Oryzias latipes: one gene and its partner. The protein of the gene in region 1 binds, or shares a complex with, the protein of each later gene. Links are inferred from orthologs where the notes say so. Each region holds a gene or a part of one and is shown on either strand. Other genes may lie near its edges. The genes, in order: phf2 and vrk1.

Region 1 (10,491 bases):
TGTCGGGATTCATGAGATCATTCAGAGACTCTCCCAGAACGGTGAACTTCACCATCTACTGTAGGAGCTGGGTCTGAATGATGGCCGTTTTCAGCGGTACTTCCGTCTCTCTGTGACACAGTTTGACGACTTGCTGTCCTGCTTTAGTCCACGGAGGGAAAAAAAAATGTGGAGGACCTTTTTTATTGTAGTCTCTCTAAAAATAAAACATGTATCATCAAGTTCACAAGAAGAACAATCAGATTCTCCTCTATGTAGGTGTTGGACTTAACTCACTGATCACATCCTCAACACGTCACGGGCCAAACTTGAGTTCCAAATTGGTTGACATGACGCCAAATTTTCACCAAAGTTCATATATTTGTACTCAGGTGGCATCTGAATTTTTGCCATGCTCCCACCAGACCGCTGCATTGCGCCCGGCATCCAAATTCTGCCGAAGGTTCTCTGATCGTGTCTTTACATTAATTTAACATAAAACTGGCTGCCGATCACATTTGAATTAGAACCTGATATGTGTTAAGACTACCTCATCGTTTATCCGCAATAACTTAGAGCAATCCATCTAGATTCAATAGAGTTTAAATGAAAAAACAAAATGTTCTAATTTTTGCATGTTCCCGTTTTCCCAATACTCCTCTCAACATTATTTTTCAGGTGTGCGCAGAGGCAGGGGTGGTTGCAGTTGCAACTGGAGATGCTAGCGTGAAAGTCTGGAGACCCAGAAAATGAGATGGGATCATCTGCATGTTAGTTTTTCGTTAGGGTGGGACTGTTTGTGTGGTGCACACACATTCAAACGTAAACCACTGCAAGCATTTCCAACATAGATGGAAGGAAAAGGGCTTTGCTCTGCAGCATGCTGGAGTTGAAATCGTGGCATGTTGGAAGCACTTCTGACTCCTCTGCATTGACCTTTGATTGGGTTTTGTTATTTTTAAACAGACGAAGATGCTTTGAGTCTTAGACCGGTTGGAAAACTTGAAAACACATGAAGACGGCACTTGAAGCAGCAGCAAACCGGCTGACTATTATTGATTTCTAAATGTAAAAATAAAACAAGGAGAGAGAGAGAGGGAGGCTGATTTCTTCACAAAAAGTCAATTTAGTTTGTTAACAGAGTTGTGTCATCTTATTTAATTGAAGGCAACTTGGTATCATTTCAGAAACTTATTTTTTTTACAATGTAATTTTCATGTAAATATGTTTTTTTTTGTTCTGTTATCTTGTACTGAAATCCTTTACATGGCACTTTAAAGTGTTGTGTGTGCCGATGTATATTACTTAATTTATAACAGATTTCTATTATTTCATTATTGTAACACCACAGCTGAAACATTTATAAAAATAAGTGATTGTATTTATAAATTATTAGTCTAAAAAAATGACCCAATACTGAGATTGTTTTGTTTCCCTTCTGTACACTGAAACAAAAAACGTTTTGTATCTCAATTGTCTGATTTCTTGGCTTGTTTCATAGACGACATGTTCTTGTTAGTCAGGTAGGTGAGGCACTTGTTTTTGTAATATTGACTACTTTGTTCCTTGACTCACCTAGGGTCATGACAGAAAGAAAGGTCCCAAATACAAGCGGCTGAAATGAGCTTCCTCCGTAGGGTGGCTGGACGCTCCCTTAGAGATCGGGGGAGAAGCTCTGTCACCCGCAGAGAGTTTGGAGTAGAGCCGCCTCGGGGAGCCCCCAGAGGAGCTGGAGAAGGTGGCCGGGGTGAGGGAAGTCTGGGCATCTTTGCTTAGACTGCTGCCCCCATGAGCTGGTACCGGATAAGCGGAAGAAGACTGATGGATGGATGAGTACTTTAGTGAAGTGGGACAGTTGTTTTTCTTTGGTTCACTTCAGCTGTTAGAAGTATCAAAGCAGGAGTACTCACATTTAAAAAACAAACATGTGAATTAAAGTTTTAGAAATGTTTTCTGGCTCTCCCACAAGCGTAAAGCTCCTCTCAACCTCTACCTAATATAACCAGTAAAACGAAAATGGTGAGTAATATTTGAGCTATCCAGTCTGGAGCCAGATGACGGCTCAGACGAGGGAAACGATCTGGATCTAGTCGTCTTGGATGCATCAGAATGAAGAGGACCAGGGAGCTTGTGGCTCACAGTTCTACGTCACCGCTACAAGCTTTTTCCAAAGGCATTTTTGTCTGTGCTCCTAATTCACAGTGATTTGAATAAAGAAATACTCAAAATGCATTTTTAAGCTTAATTTTTCTTTATAAATGAAAGATGCCACAAGAACATAGGAAAAAGACAAATTTCATTGGAGTGCATCTTCAAAGAAGAAAATCTCAGAAGCGTGTCTTTCAGATGACATCTATAATCTGGGTTCTGGTAGGAGAAATCTTTGTGTCTCAGCCACTTTCAACTGTTGTGAATGAAACTCCTTTTCCTCATAACTTCCTTCATAAAAGTGTTTATCAAAAAATTACAAAAAAAACATACTATCAGCATTTGTAACCTTTATCACACCATCAACCCCAACCTTATATGAACACACACTTTCTTGAAATAAAAAAGTAATTAAAAAAATGAAATAGAAATTAGAAAAACAATAAAACAGAATAAAAAATTAGAAGGTGAAATACAAATATTTTAATCGGTTTAATTTGAAAAGTTCTATTGAAAATAGAAACTTAACCAGAGATAGTTTTTGTTTCAATATAGAAGGGAATTTTTTTTGGAGGAAGTAGAACAGATACTTTTAACTTACTTGGGACTAACTGGCTAATCAAAAGATGAATAATAGATTTGTAAACATTCATCATACAGGTTCATGCACCCCCAGTGGCTACAGGGACAAAGATCTGAGGCTGTTGGCAACCTCTCCAATCATTTTCCTTCAAGTGGTGGTTATACAGTAGAGGGTTGTACCCATTAATCACAAAGCAGAATTACTACAACTACTGCAATCTTAATTGACAATATATTCACAAATGTTCTGGAGAATAATATAAATAGTGGTCTAGTTATAAGTGACATCAGTGACCATCTACCTGTATTTGCAACTTTTGATTACAAAATGCCACCAAAGAAACTGGTTCAGAATAACAGATCTATAAGAACCAGGACTGAAGAAGTAGTAAATGCCTTTGAAAATGATCTGCTAAAACAACAATGGAATAGAGTTTATGTTGATGATGTAAATTCTGCATACGGTTCACCTCTCATTTGTTTTTTATATGATCAACATTGTCCAAAGGTTTTATGTAGAAGCAAACATAATACTCATAAAAAACCTGGATGACAAGGGGCTTACAGAATGCCTGCAAAAAGAAAAATTAACTACATACACATTTTTTTCAAATGTAGATCAGACTTCTGAAAAAAAAAATTAAAATGTAAAAAGAAATTACTGACATTTTGAGAAAAACAAAAAAACGATTATCATAAAATTTTAGTTGAAATTAAAAATAATACTAATGCCACATGGGATATTTTCAACAGGGTAATGGGAAAAAAGACAGGATCAGTAAACTTTCTAAATTATTTTACAAAAGTTAACAGAGATACAGTATATAAAATCTAGATGCAGTTGTTAATTAATTTAATTCATTCTTCATAAATATTGGATCTAATTTAGCAAATGAAATGACAAAAAAAATGAAAAATGTGAATGACAATCAAAAAGTAGAGAACAAGGTGATGCAATCAATGTTTCTATCTACGGTGGATGAAAAAGTGATACTATATATGGTACAAAAATTGAAAACAAGACATCAATTGATAGTTATGGCACTTACATGAAAACTACCAAAATGACCATAGATTGTTAAATCAGACCTTTATGTTATGTTTTAAATCTGTCATTAAAACAGGTATCATTCCTGATGATATGGAAACTGCTTTTCAAATCAGGTGACAAACATTGTTTCAGTCATTAGTCATTACTTTCACAGTTGTCTAAAATAAGAGAAAAATTGTTTGCATTTTAGCTATTATTTCACTTCTACACCACAAACTTGGACCTCATTTAAACAAAATGAAATAAAAAAGGAATCAATATTACTTCGTTATAAGATACAGCCAGCTACTATTTTGGTTTGTTATTAATTACATGTTTGCATACTTATGAATATATTTTTTTAAATTACCAATAATTTGCAGGTTTATTGCTCAGTTTGTGGTGGAAAAAATATGCTCTAAAATGGAAACAGAAACATGTTTTTTATCTATCTATCTATCTATCTATCTATCTATCTATCTATCTATCTATCTATCTATCTATCTATCTATCTATCTATCTATCTATCTATCAATCTATCTATCTATCTATCTATCTATCTATCTATCTATCTATCTATCTATCTATCTATCTATCTATCTATCTATCTATCTATCTATCTATCTATCTATCTACAGTATTTATCTACATCTTTTTTTATTTTTTTTCACGTTTGATTATGTCATTTTGTTCAATCCCTTCAAATGTATATATTTAGTTGTTTATTTTTATTTCTTTTTACTTCTTCTTCTTTTTCATCTTTACATATTTTATCTATTTTTTGAAAGAGAAAAAAAAAAAAAAAAAAAAAAACACTGAGATGTGTGTATTGCTCATGGGTCCCGTGGCTGGTTGCTGGGATTTTAACCTCCCCTCAGTCTGACGTAACTTTGCTTTTTGTTTATTTCTGTCTTTGCAGAGCCAGTCTGCTCATTCATCCCCCTACTATGAGCGCCGCGGAGTCGCGCAGTCAGTCACCAGGGGGCATGCACATAGTAATAATAATAATAACGATGCATTTCAGGAAAAGCTGCTGAGGCGGGCTTGTTATCGTTTGGACCGCTCCGCACGAACGCTCCCGCGGCCGCGGTGCGATGGCGCGGCGCGCATAGCTCCATGTGTCCGGCGGGACTGCCCCTGGCTTTTTTTCTGGGGAAGATCATATTGGATCATATTGTTTGCAGGACGTTGTTCCTCCTGCAGCCCCTCCAGTCTATCCCGACGTAGTTGTGAATTGAACATGGCGACTGTACCAGTATATTGCATCTGCAGATTACCTTACGACGTGACCCAGTTCATGATCGAGTGCGATGCCTGCAAGGACTGGTTCCACGGCAGGTAAGAGCGGATCGCCGCGCGAGTCTGTTTTCTGTATCTGTTTGCTTTTATGGAAACAAACAAAAATGGCGAGCAGTCGGCTGCGTTTGACAGCTTTGTGGCTCTCAGTCGCCCGTCTGCATCTGAGGAGAGAGGCCGCTCGGAGAAGAAGAAGGCGGAGTTAAATATAGCCGACCGGGGTTGTGACATTTTTTGGCGAATAACTCAACACCGATCCGTCGGATTAGAAATGTCTGCGTTTATTGTCGTGATTTTGTGATGGGCTTGAAGCCGTATCTGCCCCCTAACAGCCGTTTGGGACCCCGGAGCAGCCCCGAGCTGGAGCCAGCCTTCCCCCGGTCCGGAGCAGACGGCAGCGGGGAAGCCTCGGCACTGTCGCCGCTCATTTCTTTCTCACTTCCAGGCTTCTTAGCTGCCCCCACGCCCGCTTTCCCCCCCAACAATGCCCCTGAATGTGGGCACACATGAGTCCGTCACACGGTTCTCACGGCTGACTCGTTCAGAGGGGCTGGAAATCACGACTCTAGCGAGCCCCGGACAGCCTTCCTGCCGGGCAGCAGCTATGGCTGACAAAGCCCGTGTTGGGAAAGGTTTCTGCGAGCGGAAAAGCAAAAATAAAAAAAGCATATCTAACTGCTTTGATGGATCTTTGAACTACACTTGGTTTGCTGGCTGCCCTGCCGCACGGCACAGGCGCGTGCCCCCCACCGGTCATCACTTTTCCCGTCCAACGAGCCCTGCGAGGATCGCTCCGATCCTCCGTTTCCACACGCCAACATTTGCTCGCCTTTGTCTCTCCCACCCTCACACTCCTTCATGTTCACACTCGACGCTTCTTTGGACCCTATAAAGTCATTCGGCGGCGTTCGGGCCGACTTTATATAAAAAACAATCGTTTATTATAAGCATTTTTAGTGAAGAAGTCCTTGAGAGCAATGGAGAGTATTTACGCGCCTGAACGTTAACCCTTTCGTCTTCCTCCGCTGCAGCCTGATCACAGCAGCAGCCCGGGGATGAGCGCTGACCCTCCACGCACAAACCCACTCAAGATGACTGACTGTCAGGTTCACTCAGTCCACTTGAGTCACAGACGAAGACCAGAAACAAACAAGGACTGAGAAAACGTTCATATTTTTTAAGCAGAGAAACTGCAGTTTAGTTTTTTGAACCTCCAAGCACGAAAAACATCCATCCGAACTGAAGGAAACCACAAAAAACAAAACATAAAAGCAATCAGTGTTTGAGCAAAACATCTCGTAAAGTAGTGCTTTGATGAAAATGTGTGTGTTTTGGGTGTTTTTAACGTGTAAAGGTGTCATGGAGGACATATTTAAAGAAAACTAAACTTAAATTTGCCTTTCTAGGTATGTCTGTAAACAAATCATTGTGAATCAGAAGCAGATGTAATAAATCCAAAAGAGTTTCTAGCAGTGATGTAGATGCTACAGTCGTAGGCTACAAGCCCCCTGCTCCGCTCTATTCAAATGCATTGCTTGAAGACAAATAGATCCATATACGTCTTTGTTTTTCTTGACAGCGCTGGTATCTCACTCAAAACTGTACTATTGGACAGCTCCGATATTGCTCTGCTGATTTGTTGCATTGGTAATGTTAGGTTGGGGTTGTGAGGGGCTCTCAGGGAGAGAGAGTGTAAACAAAGGGTTGACGGGAAATGCGTGGAGGCTTACTTCCTGCCGATAGTCCCGCCCACACCTCAGAGTCATTTTCTGTTGAACTCCTGCTGCTCTGCATTAAAGATGCTCTAGAAAATGACACAAGTTTTTTTCTTTTTGGCTAAAAATGGCATAATCATAATTAAAAGACCTCCAGGAATGCTTTTACAAGAGATGACTGGAGTTGGACTTAAGGCAGAGAAACTATAGTTTACAAGAAGAAAATACCAATCTGAAGGAAATCACAGAAACAATCAGTGTTTGAGCTCAACGCCTGGTAAAGTAGTGCAATTAAAAAGTGTGCTTGGTAGATTACTTCTTTATTGGAACAATATTTATTTGAGGTAAAACCTGATATTTTTTTCATTTACAAATGCCGCCACATTTGTGAGCAAAAGACACGTTTGAGGGATGAGCTGCAGAGACAGATCTGACTCTTCTTTGAATTCCTGAACTCCAAAGACTTGTTGACAACCATACACCTTTTCAAAACAGGAAGCTCAGTAGCATGTGAAAGAAACAGTTGCAGCTTCCCTCCTCCTTTTCATGCTGGTCACCAGCCTGCCTACATTCTGCTGTGGGATGACGTCCCATTCTCTAATCAGCATTTGTCAGGAGGCAGCCAGCATGGTTTTTTTGGACACAGCGACTCAAACATGACTCCCCGAACCCACAAATGTTCAGCAGGGCTGAGGGCAGGACTGCTCACTCTCAAGCTCTGGAAGCAGCCTCTGATAGAACCTCATTTGCTGAAGCAAGCATTTTGTTTGGGGGATAATTTTGGTTGGAGATTAAAAATATCAGATTTCCGCAATCTCATCTCTGTGTGTTAAGTGCACTGATATTAGCCTTAATAATGACAAGCTTAGTTTTTACGATCAAGAAGACTCAAATCATCACTCCACAAGTGCAACATTCAGATTTTTAACCCGACAACCAAAGACAGAATCTGGAATATTTGCTGAACACAAGTGTATTTCTGAATGTCCAGGTTTCTAGTGCACCTCCAATATGAACATGCATGATGCTGAAAATCATCAATAGCAGCTTCCTGGCAGCCCAGAGAGACTGGCTGTTTGTATGGGAACTGATGATAAAAAAACAACTGCCTATGTGCTAAATGATGACTGGGTGTGGAAATGTTTATCTGTTGCTCAGTGGCTGTTCATTAGTTGTTGTTTTTTTTCCGTGGGACAACCACATCACAGTCCTCACTGTCATCCCTGTTGTGAGGAAGCAGAAACCGCCACGAAGCAGAAATGAACCGACCTAAGACGACAATAGTTTGGAAACAGACACCAACACATCACTGCAACAGGAATAATGCTCACAGGATATCGGATTAGCATCTGATGTTAAGGATGTGGGGGCTCCAGGTGCTTAAAGCAGCAGAAACAAAATTAGGGCTCTCTCAAACCAGGCAATCGTTAAGCATGCTAACCTCAAAGTATGATGTATTTAGCTAAAGTGATTCAATGATCAGGCACGACTTGAAGAATATGTGCAGCAGAGGTCTGCCTGCAGAGGTGGGCCAGAGCACGGCACTGTTGACTCTAGTGTGGTACAAGTCTGGCCTGTTTGCTAAGAGTGCTTACATTTTGCCAACCTATGACAGGTGTCTGTAATAATGTGGGACAGTGGGTCAACTTCTCAAACCAGTTAGCTATGAAATCACAATGGGAAACAAACGCATCACAAACAAAAATGTGTTTTTTGCTCTTGAAGACTGCTTTGTGCACCCCAAAAACCTTCTTCTCAATTATTGGTGAATATTATAACAATTGAAGCCCCACTACAATCATCTTTTGATCTATTTTAAAAGCGTTCTTTTATGATTATGCTGTTTTTAGGTAAAATCAAAATTCTGTGTCCCATCCTCACCTAGAGTAGCCAAACATTCACAACGAAGAACTAAAGAAGAAAAAGACAAAATAAAAATGAGATAAAATAGACTAATTTGTGGATGATTTATTTAATAAATTCATTTTTTTTAAATGCATATATTTTAACATCCGTAATCTAAACTTTTAAAAGAACATCATAGCTTTTTTGTATTTTTAGTAGGCTTCTTGGATAACATTTTTTATTTGATAAAACCATTTGTCTTGGTCTCTGTTACAATATCATGGAGAGTCTCCAACACTTTTTTGACTCCAGGCTCAAGAAAACTTGGGTTCTGCAGCGGATTAATGATCTGATAAATGAGCTGATCAAATGAAGATTCATTGAGAGCAAAAGTTGGGCCTTAAATTTAAGTTTCAGACTCATAATATGCAGCAGAAACTTGCTTCTAACGTCAACTAAAATGATCAAAAACATGAGAAAAAAAAGAATCAAATTCATCACAAGATACAAGAAACTCCAGAACAGTTGTTACTGGGGTTTGGTATCAGACGTCACTCAACTTGTTATTCAATTTTTGGAGCAAATACTTTTTCAAAAAAGATTACACAAAGGTTTGGAAATGCAGTCTTAATGAGTCAAACCATGAACATTTTTCAGATTACAACAGACATTATCCACTCAAATAAGATTACATTTGTGCCAAATTATGAAAACCCATAAAGCATTGAGGAAAATCCTAACCAGTACTGAGATAAACAGATGCCGGTTGAGCTTTTTGGTAGCATAAATGATGTGTTTTGTAAAAAGAACTTTCAGAGATAGAGTTAGCATTGATTAATTATAAAGAGAAGGGTCCCAAAATAGAGCTCTGGGGAGCACCATTGGTTAGAGCAGCAATAATTGACAATTCTTTTGATAATGGAGTCACTAAACAAGACTCTTTGAGAAAATGATTATTTAATTATATTTTCACGGGGGATTGAATGAGGCAAGATGAAAGGGAAGAGTGTGACATTTTGGTTATGAGAATGTAAATTTGCTTAGACTAAACTGTTTAGCAAATGCCTACAACTGCTTTATTCACAAGGTGGGATAACAGCATAAGGAAAAAGTATTATAAACATATGAAGAACAAATACACTAGTTTTTGATTCAATAGCTGTTGGTGAATGTTGTCAGCTTATTTTGCAAAAAAGAAAAAAGTCCATAAAAGTGTTACAAGGTTCACTTTAATCCATGTGGGTGGAACATGTGTCCGGAGGTAGTGGGATGCTGCTCAGTATGGAATACAAAGCTTGCATGTTCTCTTTAGACTCAATTCAAGTTGTATGAGACTGTAATAATGCAGGCTGTGACACAGCCGGCACGGTCATAGAAGAAAACAAAGAAGTTTTGGCAGAATTCTTCCAACACTTTTTGAAATTACGTCTTCCTGCCCTTTGCCCCTGAGACTTACAAGGTCCCAAATGTTGTTACTTCATCAATGATGTTGTTTTGCAATGTGTTTAGTCTTGAATTTGACTAAATGATCTGATGTTCACAGTTGTGGAAAACTGTTTGATAGTCAAAGAAATGCATTAGTTAAAGATGCAAAAGTTATTCTTTAAAAAAATATTTAACAGAATACAAATGAAAAACAAAAGAGCTTGATGTGTTCATATATAAGGTTTCTTGTTCAGGTTTATGAATGCCAAATATAAACCTTTTAATTAATGTTTTGTATGAAAATGTTTTTATTCTGTTAAATTAAACTATAATATATAACAAGAATCTGAACAGTCTTGTCATTTGACCTTAACAACCTCTGCTGGTATGTCATGTAACTCGATTTAAACTGTTGTTTTAAGATGCAGATTGTCCCGCAGAATCATTTCAGAGTAGGTCAAGCTGTGCTGA
Region 2 (10,561 bases), on another chromosome or scaffold:
TTTCCAACACAAAACCTCTCTGTTACTTTCAAACCTGAGACAAAAAGTGGTGTACTCCAAATACAAAACCCAGATGAAGAAGCAGTGCATTGTGGTCCATGCTGTCCAGTGCACTTAGAAGTCTTCCGATCTATTAGGAAAATTAAACAACACCCAACAAATGGATGAGACAGTCTAGCAGAAGCACACCGTCAGAGTAGGACTTTGTAGTTGACCTAAGGGACAGATGACTACTTTGAAGACATCAAAGTTGTGATCTGGACAGAAGGTGAATCGAGGAAGACTCCAACTCTGAGCCACAAAGAGACCTCTGCCAATAGCTGACCATTCTGACAAGGTCTAGATAGCTGGACATTCATGTCGGCTCACATGACATCTTCAGCCTTAAGCCTGAGTCAAAACTGACCTAACGGGGGAATACGGCCGTCTGCGGGTGAAACCCATGCATGTCGGTGGCCCGCACAACATATCAATGTCGCTTGGTGAGCCTGTAGAGCAAACATTTACATGCACAATTTCTTCTTTTAGCAACCTGGGGGCAACAGGTCGTACTAAAAACGAATTCAACACGCAAGGGGAAATAAGGGTGATGAGGTGAGACGCAGACGTTTTGTATGGATTTTCCTTTTGTTTGACCCCCCCCCCCCCCCCCCCCCCCACATCCTGTAAACTGCGCAAGGAGCCAGTTAGTGCTGCCTATAAGTGATAAGTGCGCACTCCTTGCGTGCAGCCTGGTTGTTAGAAATTACGAAATTGAGCAATCAGAGTGTAGTTTGTGTGGGCATCCCATACGGGCGTCCCACAGGCGCTGACGTTTCACCTGCACACCCGTGCTGCATTCTGCAATCAGTAAGTACCCAGTACGCTCACCTCACTGACGACCACAGGACACCGAACAACAGCATCCCCCGTACCTCATGAGTGCATGTTCAAAAACTTAATGATGCATCTAGCAGGTGGATGGCTCGGTGGGCTGGGTGTGGGATTCAGGTTATCTGGGTCCACTTCCCAGGCCGTGCAATGAGCCAAAAATCCAGTTTGGACGCTTTACGCCGTTACCTATCTGGGTCTCCCTGTGCCTTGAAAATACCGGGTTGCGTCAGGAAGGGCTTACAATGTGAAAACTCTGCCAAACCACCTCAGTGAAAGCAGATTTGAAGCCTGACGGGATGTTTCGAAAGGTGAACAACACCAACTTAATGAAGTTTAAGGTGGCCGTATAAAAGGAACCGCAAGACACCTGCGCCCCCCCCAATCTGAATTCCCATCAGCAGTTCCAAGAAAAAAGATACTTGGACGATCAGCCAAACATCTCCCAGATCAACATTTAATGAAGAACAGAATCTTGTCAGAACATGATCAAATGACTGGGAATCTTTACCTGAAAATGTAAGTTTTTTTAGCAAGACATGTACGAGTTTGTTCATTAAAAAAAGACAAAAAAAAAACATTTATATGTGGGTAATTTGGAAAATCAATGATAAGAAGGAGAACACTTTTTAAAAAATAGTTTTTTCCTGAAAAAAAGCGTCTATAAAGTTTTGCAAGATTAGATGCAAAGAAATTGCATTCCTAAATCATTACTAATAAGAAAAAAAAATCAACAACTGTTCTACAACAATGCCTGGTGGTTTTTCTACAAGTGTTTCTCTCATCCAACCATTTTCCTCTGTGTTTTAGGAAGTCCCGCTGTTTCCGCAGGAAGCTGCTTGCTTCCTCCACAGAATATTTAGGGGTTTTCTCATAATTCTGCTCTTAAAGTCATTGTAGAACCAATGACGCTACGCCTCACAAAAACTGTAAATGGATTTTCTTACTGGTAGGAAAACGTCGGAGGTAAATTGTTTCCAGTTAACCTGCTCTATAGCCTTTTGTTTGGAGGGAGGACGCCTCAGTGAGCCTGTCTGAAGCAGCTCCAGCCACATGAGTGAAATGAAGTCCACACGCTCTCAGATCAGCAGCAGACTGAGTCAGGCCGTGCGTGCTCACACGTGTCGCTTGGACTGATTCATGGAGGCGCCTTTGTTTTAATAAAGCCCGGCTTTGCAGCGGGCGCCGACAGCTTCAGCTCCTGCACGGCTGTAGCGTTCATATCGATCCGTGCTGCCGAGCTGTAATGTCATTGCACGGAGCGTTTATTTTATGAGCAGAGTTGCTGATGCCGCTCAAAAACAGAGTTACAAACACTTCTCAAAGCAATAATTCACTCTGCAGCTTTTATCTGTCATGGAATGTGAATGTCCAGCTTTTTCAGGTCAAACTCATGTTTACTAAATTTACACAAAACAGTGAGAATTATTTAAAAAAAAAACTGTCCTGCTGGTGAGTTAGCTTTTAAATGTCATTTTTATTGGTAACATGAACTTTTTCTTGATGTCTCTTTCATATACTATGAAAAGGGTTTGAGCTATTGCATTTAGTACAAAATCTTTTTAATCTTAATAAGCTTTTTGCCTTTATGCTTTCACTTTTTTATGTTCAAATGTTTGCTAGAAATTTTGGGTTTCTTAAATGTAACATGTGATATGCTGAATATTCCACTTACTTCAAACCAACAAGAATTATATGAAACTACAGTTTTTTGGGGGTTTTTGTGGCAAAAATATTACTGGGACTATTTATTAATTAATATTTCACACTAGTTGGTTTGAAGGCATAAGTATGCATTTGTGAACACTATTTGTATTGTGTACATGTTGACATGTGGACATTTTTGCAGCTAACAGGTGTGTTTATAACATTCAAGTGTGTGTGTAGGCAGACCCCGCCCTTTGAGATTTGTATTACATCTGAACCTTACCGTAATGATAAACACCCAGTAGCTTGTTGCTTTATGCTGCTTCATGGTTTTGCACCCCCCCCCTATGATCTCCCTCCTATCCCCCTCTCTCTAACATCCCTCTCTCTTCTTTCCTTCTTTCCTTTTCCGTCCGGTCCAACACAAAATATTTTCAAACATGATTAAAATGAATAAAGTTTGGCCTCAATTACAAAAGGGGTTTATTCAGACATACCTCTGGTTTGTCAGAAGATTCATAACCCCTGTTGTTAAAGTAAAATATGTCCAACACAAGAGGCCTTCAGCTCTCATCTGTTTGCCCAGCTTTTGGACAGGACAAGTTAAAAAAAATATATATATATATATATTGCTGGGACTGCTCCACAAGCCTGTCGGATCAGAGGAAATGAGGTGGGGTTGTACCTGGAGCTGCTGCAGGATCCTCTCTTTGGGTTGGACCTGGTGTTTGCTGCAGCTCTGCTGGTAGGCCTCCAGCACCTCCTCCATAGTGACACAGCGCTCAGCTGAAATATGAACAATCAAGTTTGTCTGATTTTCTGGAGAATCTGCAGTCGCAGAAGTTGCAGGTATGATCAGACTCCAGCTTTTGTGGTTAAACGTCTTACTTGCTCTGTCTCTGTCCTCAACAAAGCTGGACACGATCTGCTCATCAGGAGGAAAGGACACATGTTTTCCACTTTTGCTTATCCTCTTCTGGGGTTTGTTGGCTTCATCTGCATGCTCCTCTTGCTCGCCGCAGCGCGTCATCTCTGCCTTTAAATCTCCGAACAGAAAGTGGTTGTCAGCTAAGCTCAGGCATCATTCTCTCCTCTGTGGAGACATCACTCAACTTCTTCTGATTTGTACTTTGTGGACAAACAGGTAAAGCAGCTCCCTCCACGATGTGGCACCTGGAAAAAAAAAAACAAGACACTGAAGAACCAATATCTTATTCATGAGTTGTGCGCTGGGTTGCAGTTGAAACCTGATATGTTTGTATCAAATGGCACGACTGTGCACATTTACATACCTATTCAAATGCAGCATTTGCAGCAGGAGTCAAAGGTGCACAGGCAGCGAGATGTTTGCTGAAGCAAAGTTTCTCCTGCTTCTTTATGAAGAAACACTACAGGACAAATTCTGAAAACAACAACAGCTCTTTCACTTCAGCCTGCGTGTGAGGAAGGATGACCTTCATCTGTCACTGTCATCCTCATCCATTGTGAATAAAGTCTTTGAATAAAACTTCATAGAAACTAATTCTTTCTTGTGAAAATGTGGTTGTGTTAAAAGTGAAAACCCTGATAGGGTCAGAGATTTAACCATCAAGCTTTTAAAGCTCCTCCTTTTTTGACTTTCTTCATTTTGTTGACACCACAGGAACTTAATCACATTTTCTGATCAAGCAGACTCAACAGATCGGAGTGCACAAACAGCATCATTGCATTTGACACATTATTTTATCTACAAATGGATGATTTGACTGGATTTTTATTATTTTAATATATACAAACACAGGTGCAAAATATAAACAGGTAAATGACTCGGATTTGGCAGCGGTTAGACTTTGGTTGGTGCACAGGCCAGCATGGTGCTCGGCTGTGGTAGAATCTCCAGACCAAACACCCTGTGGATCTAGGTTGGCCCACCTTTGACACTCTGTTGCTAGCATTCAGGTGCCATCTGACTCTTTTCTGAAATAGTTTTGTTGCTTCTTACCGGGAGCGAAACAGACAGGTTGTTGCACATATTTTAGAATTAGCCATCTATTTTTTGAGCAAGTGAGGGATATTCTTATCCTTAAGGCAGGATAATTCCTTATAATTCAACTGATATGGATGCTTAAACCTTACCTGAGGACATCTAAACTCTAATAGACAGACTCACACACATGGGTAATATAAATCTAACTGTGCTGATGACATGACATTGACAACCTTTTTAACTGCATTTTCTATTAAGGATGTGAATGTTAGAGAAGTTCCTGCTTCTAAATCAGGACAAAAGTGAAGTTTTAGCTCTGAGGCAGAGAAAGTCAGTATAGTTGCAAAGTAACTATACTAAGGGACAAAGTCAGGATCTTCAGGGGGACATTTTCCAGGATTTTCCTGGACTTTCATCCAGGATCAGAAAGACAGAGTCACTTTAATTTAGTTGTTTTGTTACTTTTACCATATTAACCTCTGATAGTCCTCAGATCCTCATGTTCAGGCCTCTTTACTGATTCAAGAGTCAGACCCACAGTGAGATCTGTTCAAATACTGTGGGCTCCAATTTATTTACAGTGTGGAGACTTTAAAAAAAAAGACTTGAGACATATAACTTTTAATTTTATCAATATTTAACTGTTCCCATTTTTTATTTTTAGGTTTATGCATTTATACTGTGTATAGAGTCTATTTTCTGAAAAATGACAATAGTAATTGGGTGTTCCTTTTTATTGGTAAATACCGCTTAGTATGTTCCCATCCTCAAAAATAATGCATCTTTTTAAACTTTAATGATTAATTAAAAGTTTTCTTTGTTTGAAATTCATTTCTGTTGTACTCCATTTTTTCCTGCAGTTTGACCATGTTCCTAGGATCTTTCCTATTAAATACTACTTTTAGATTGATGTTTTCAAGAAGGTAGATGGGATTTCTTTTGTTTGTTTGTGGCCACAAAAAAAATTAAAAAAAATTAAACCATATATTTAAAGTAATTCTCAACTATAGTTACTGCTTCTTTTTAAATAAAAAATAACTTTCAGAAACCTTTTTTATGTTTTTAATGCTACGTTCTGCATTTGCAATGTATTAAAAAAAATAATTTTGTTTTAATTTTTTTTTTTAAAGTTTTTTCTACATTTTTATTTTCTAAACAAATATTTATTTGGGGACAGTAACGTTTCATTTTGGGCAATACAGTTTAAAAAAAAATCCCGTATCTCTACTTCCGGTAGTCATTCCACCAATAGACAATCGAGGCTTAGTGACGCAACTTCCTGACCGGCAAGTTTGCGGGAAGTTTGTTCCGTAAACACTTAAGCCCTAAATCAACCGCGATCATTTATATTGCGGTAAGTATGTTTTGTTAACACCTTAAGAATATATATTTAGATGGTAAATCGGGACAGACAGCAAAAAAACGCCGTTATTTTGCGAAATATCGTAACAGTTTGACGGAACAAATCAAAACGAGGCAGTTAGTTAGCTAACCTCAAGCTAACCGGTCATCTAAAAATGCTCGACGCCGTTTGTCCATCAACAACAACTGTGTTTACTGCGTATTACGTTCAGATTGGTGATGCTGATTAGTTATTTGCTGCCTGGAGTTCGTGTTCGTGTTTTTTTTTTGGTAAATATTCCATGGATGGTTCGTGTTTGTTTTCTGGTTTTGTAAATGCGTCACATAAATAAACAAAGTTCCCACTTTATCCAAATAATGGATTTCTGCCATCAGATTTGAGGTTAACTTAAAGCGAGCAGTCTGCTGAAAGCTTCACTGCTGATTTTAAACCGATATATGTTAATAAAGTGGGACTTCTTACGTGTTAAGTTTTAATGAGTCTTCCGTCGAAAGAGCAAACAAATAATAATCTCCGTAATATTAATTCATCTGATTTCCAAATCTCAAAATTGCAATGCTATAATTGTACTTTTCACTTGAATACACATAATGTCTTTCTTTTTCTTTTTTTAAACTATTTTCAAACATGCAAATGACCAAAGTGAAACTATAATTGAAGCTTTAATGAATAAAAAATAAAAAATAAATACAATAATTTTTATTGTGTTGGTTCCAGGTTTTAAAAAATCCGAATTCTAAAATCTTTTTTTTTTGTTACTTTCTTCTCATAATCAAAAAAGGAGTTTCCTAGAAAATGATCCTTTTAATCTGATGAGTCGTATAAAACATAACATCTCAAATGTGTCTAAACATAGATTGTGTATCAAAATCATTGTTTTTGTAGGTTTTTTTTCTTCTGTTGGGTGAATCCTGTTAACCCCTCTGATCGCCCCCCCTCTCCCCCCCATGTCTCAGATGCCCCCTAAAGCCAAAGCGACCGGCAGAGCCAGAGCTCCTGCGAAGAGGAAGCTGGCCGAGGAGTTTCCCCCTGGAGAAGTTCTCACAGACACCGGGAAGAAATCCTGGAAGCTGGGAGCTCCGGTGGGCCAGGGGGGGTTCGGCCTGATTTATCTGGGTGAGAAAAGCTTTGCAGTTAGAGATGAATGTTTGACCCTTGTGACGCGACTGCCAGCATTTCCAGATGTGTTACGCAAACTGCTGTCCATCTCTTTCTTCATCCTCAGCGGATCAGAACTCTGACAAACCTGTTGGTAAAGAAGCGCCGTACGTCATCAAAGTGGTAAGGCTTTACAAGTCTGCTCATCTTTCCTGTCATCATCTCCACTGACTTGTGACTACGGGGGGCAGAACCTTTTCAGGGGCCGCCCCTAAACTCTGGAACCGTCTCCCTTTTTCCGTGAGGTCTGCCAGATCCTCATGAATTTAAATCTTTGTTAAAAGATTTTACATTAGGTTTTAACATCAGAGTGGATGACAATCAGGCCAGCTCTATTAGTGTTTCTATTAACGTGGATTTTACTGTTTTACTTTGGATCTCTGGTAGATGTTAAAGCGGTTTACCAATAAAGATTGATTGATTTGGTGTTTCTGACTTTTTGCAATACTATTCTGGAGCAGGAGAGTGTTTTCATTTTTCTGTGTGAGTTCGCTGTGATCCTGTGACTTCCAGGATCTTACATTCAAATCCAGAGCTGATGTGTCGTTTAAAAAAAACTACATTTTCTGCCACAGGAACCCAGCGAAAACGGGCCGCTGTTCTCCGAGCTGCATTTCTACATGAGAGCCGCCAAGCCCGATCTCAGTAAGTTGCAGCTTCACTCTTCGTCAGTACTCCTCGCCGTCACGGGAACCTCCAATCCGATGCAAACAAATAAAAGAATCAAACTTTCTTAATTAAAGAGAGGATGTTAGAGCGGAGGATAACAGCTGGCCTGAAGGGGGAACTGGGCTCTGGGGGCCACAGCTCTGCATTGAATATAATAACATTCCAAATGTCAATCCCCCCGACAATTAACTGCAGTATTACTAAGAAACCAAAGGCTCATCTTTTATTCATGTATTTGTCCCTGCAGCAGATTAACTGTTGGTCACGCTGGCCAGCGCTAAAAAACAAAAACAAACGTCTGTCTTCACAGTCCAGGATCTGGGCTCTCCAGTCTGTTCTGAGTCTTTGTTTCTTTGCTTGTCTTGCAGTCCAGACCTGGATGAAGACCCAGAAGTTGAAGCATTTGGGGGTTCCCCGTTATTGGGGCTCCGGTCTGCATGAGAAAGGAGGGAAAAGGTAAGACCGGGTTCCCCCGTCTTTGACTCTGGACTTGAGATCGGGAGGGTTTTCTTGTGGAACACACAGCAGAAACCTCCCTCTCTGCCCCTGGCAGGTATCGCTTCATGGTGATTGACAGACTCGGCACAGACCTGCAGAAGAAGTTTGAAGAATGTGGGAAGAGATTCCCCAGAAAACTGGTCCTGCAGCTCGGTCTCCGCCTGGTTGGTTGATGAGGAGAATGGTGTTCTATTAGCTTAAAACACATAGCACTGCATTGTGTCAAAACACAGAGTTTAGGGCTGCAGAAATCTCTGTTGCTTAACTCTAAACACAGATTCTAGAAAACTAAGTTTACTCCGAGCTTATATAATAATGCATCTTTAGTTGACCGTTTACCTCGCCTTTGCTCCTGCTCCTACACCTGGCTGTGGATCCTGCCTCTGGCTCATCTCTGGCTCGTCTCTGCTCTGTACCTGACCGTTTACCTCGTCTCTGCTCCTGCTCCTACACCTGGCTGTGGATCCTGCCTCTGGCTCATCTCTGGCTCGTCTCTGCTCTGTACCTGACCGTTTACCTCGTCTCTGCTCCTGCTCCTACACGTGGCTGTGGTTCCTGTCTCCGGCTCGACTCGCGCCTTTGACTGTCCCCACAACCACGGCTGGATGAAGCTCGTCTGCTGGACTTTTATATATGTAGTTGTAGATTTAGATAAGTTAATTCTTCTCTAAGATTTCTGGTAAATCGCCTGTCCGTCCTGGGGGAGGATCCCTCCTTCATGTGGGCACCCCTGAGGTTTCTTCGTTTTTTCCGGAATCCGGTTTTTTTGGGAGTTTTTCCTTACCGCGAAGGGCGGTCTAAGGGCAGGGATGCCAGTATAGCTTAGTCAGTTTGTTAGTTCATTTTAGTATTTTTCTATTGAACTCTTTGTATTCGTGATCCTTTTGATTTCATGTTTTACTTCGAAGCCCATCGAGACGACTGTTGTTGTGATTTTGGGCTATACAAATAAAATTGAATTGAATTGAATTGAATAGTTGTGGATCTGCCAAAACTTCCAGGTAGGGTTAAAAAACGAGAACAACAAACTTTAAAAACAGCGATTACTTGTATTCTCTTTTTACGTTCACCCAGCTACTCCGGTTTTCCCGGTTAGCCTTGAATGAAGATCTTTTAAAGCATTATGCCAATTGTTTAGCATGTAGAATTAAACATGTAAAACTTTGAAGCAGTTTCCTTCTCTGTGAAGTCTGACGCTGGGAAACCTGAACGAGACTTGAACACGCTACGACAGCTCCAGCTGCAGCTACAGCATCTCTGCTGCAGCTACAACAGCTCCAGCTGCAGCTACGACAGCTCCAGCCGCAGCTACAGCATCTCTGCTGCAGCTACAACAGCTCCAGCTGCAGCTACGACAGCTCCAGCTGCAGCTACGACAGCTCCAGCTGCAGCTACAGCATCTCTGCTGCAGCTACGACAGCTCCAGCTGCAGCTACGACAGCTCCAGCTGCAGCTACGACAGCTCCAGCTGCAGCTACAGCATCTCTGCTGCCATCTAGTGTTTGTTTGTCTATAGCAAGACAATAAACGAGATGTGGTTGAACTCTCCTGTGTGTTTTCAGCTGGACATTTTGGAGTTCATCCACGAGCATGAGTACGTGCACGCCGACGTCAAAGCGTCCAACCTCATGCTGAGCCACAGTGACCCCAACCAGGTCAGTTCATGTGGGGAAACCCCCGGCCTTCAGCTCTGCTGCTGGAAGCCGGGATGGATGAAGGTTTTGGTTGAAGCTCCCTCATTCCGCTTCATTAGACTCTATTCTAACCTGCTGTGTGTGGGTGTAGGTGTGTGTCTAAAGATTAGAAAGCAGCAGAGGTTTTTTTATTTTTGTATTATTTTTAGCAAACACAATTGGAACAGGCGCGGGTATTTAATTTGGAGATTAATAATGGATTGTTTGTGTTGTTTTTAAATGACACTATAAAAATGAGCCCTCAGGATTCTATGCTTAATTGTCCTCTGTTTTGTTTTTTTGTTTCTGTTGATGGACTGTAGCTGTGTCACTTATTTAAGCCAGAAAGAATCTAGACTGAGCAAAGATTTCGAGTCCAAAAAGAACTTGTGGTTCTGGAAGTTGTCCGTTCTTCTCGTTGATCACAGCGGGTTCATCTGGTTTCCCGGTTCTGCTGGCTGTGCAGGTTTATCTGGTAGATTACGGCCTGGCATACAGATACGCTCCTGATGGCGTCCTGAAAGAGTACAAGGAGGATCCCAAGAAATGCCACGATGGAACCATAGAGTTCACCAGCATCGATGCCCACAAAGGAGTCGGTGCGTACGAGTCCGCTCTGAAACTCAGATCCACTTACTGACTGTAATATGATTAAACTCATATCCTGAATGAAACCCAGCCGTGGAAATGAGCGAATCCAATCATTTTAGACACAAT

Evidence for each region.
Region 2: the proteins of phf2 (region 1) and vrk1 are in contact, whole or in part, in a crystal structure (PDB 8F8Y), measured with the Homo sapiens proteins. The link is inferred for Oryzias latipes from reciprocal best matches to the Homo sapiens genes PHF2 and VRK1. Residues at the interface, in NP_005383.3 of Homo sapiens: Tyr7, Tyr14, Val16, Thr17, Arg18, Phe19, Met20, Ile21, Glu22, Trp29, Glu39, Ala42, Ile45, Asp46, Tyr48, Lys64, Tyr145, Ser147, Glu150, Lys175, Val178, Asp179, Tyr182, Ser183, Thr184; in NP_003375.1 of Homo sapiens: Pro2, Arg3, Val4, Lys5, Ala6, Ala7, Gln8.

What each region holds. Positions count from the first base shown.
Region 1 is NC_019863.2:25,201,791-25,212,281, reverse strand, and holds the start of phf2 (lysine-specific demethylase PHF2), read left to right. Parts: upstream 1-4,843; 5' UTR 4,844-4,979; coding exon 4,980-5,077; exon of another isoform or gene 5,078-6,050; intron 6,051-10,491. Other genes in the region: fbxw9 (F-box/WD repeat-containing protein 9), read left to right, coding at 658-732. UniProt on the Homo sapiens protein: Lysine demethylase that demethylates both histones and non-histone proteins. Enzymatically inactive by itself, and becomes active following phosphorylation by PKA: forms a complex with ARID5B and mediates demethylation of methylated ARID5B.
Region 2 is NC_019880.2:3,856,138-3,866,698, reverse strand, and holds the start of vrk1 (serine/threonine-protein kinase VRK1), read left to right. Parts: upstream 1-5,722; 5' UTR 5,723-5,837; intron 5,838-6,802; coding exon 6,803-6,962; intron 6,963-7,071; coding exon 7,072-7,127; intron 7,128-7,579; coding exon 7,580-7,649; intron 7,650-8,041; coding exon 8,042-8,129; intron 8,130-8,226; coding exon 8,227-8,335; intron 8,336-9,733; coding exon 9,734-9,826; intron 9,827-10,310; coding exon 10,311-10,443; intron 10,444-10,561. UniProt on the Homo sapiens protein: Serine/threonine kinase involved in the regulation of key cellular processes including the cell cycle, nuclear condensation, transcription regulation, and DNA damage response.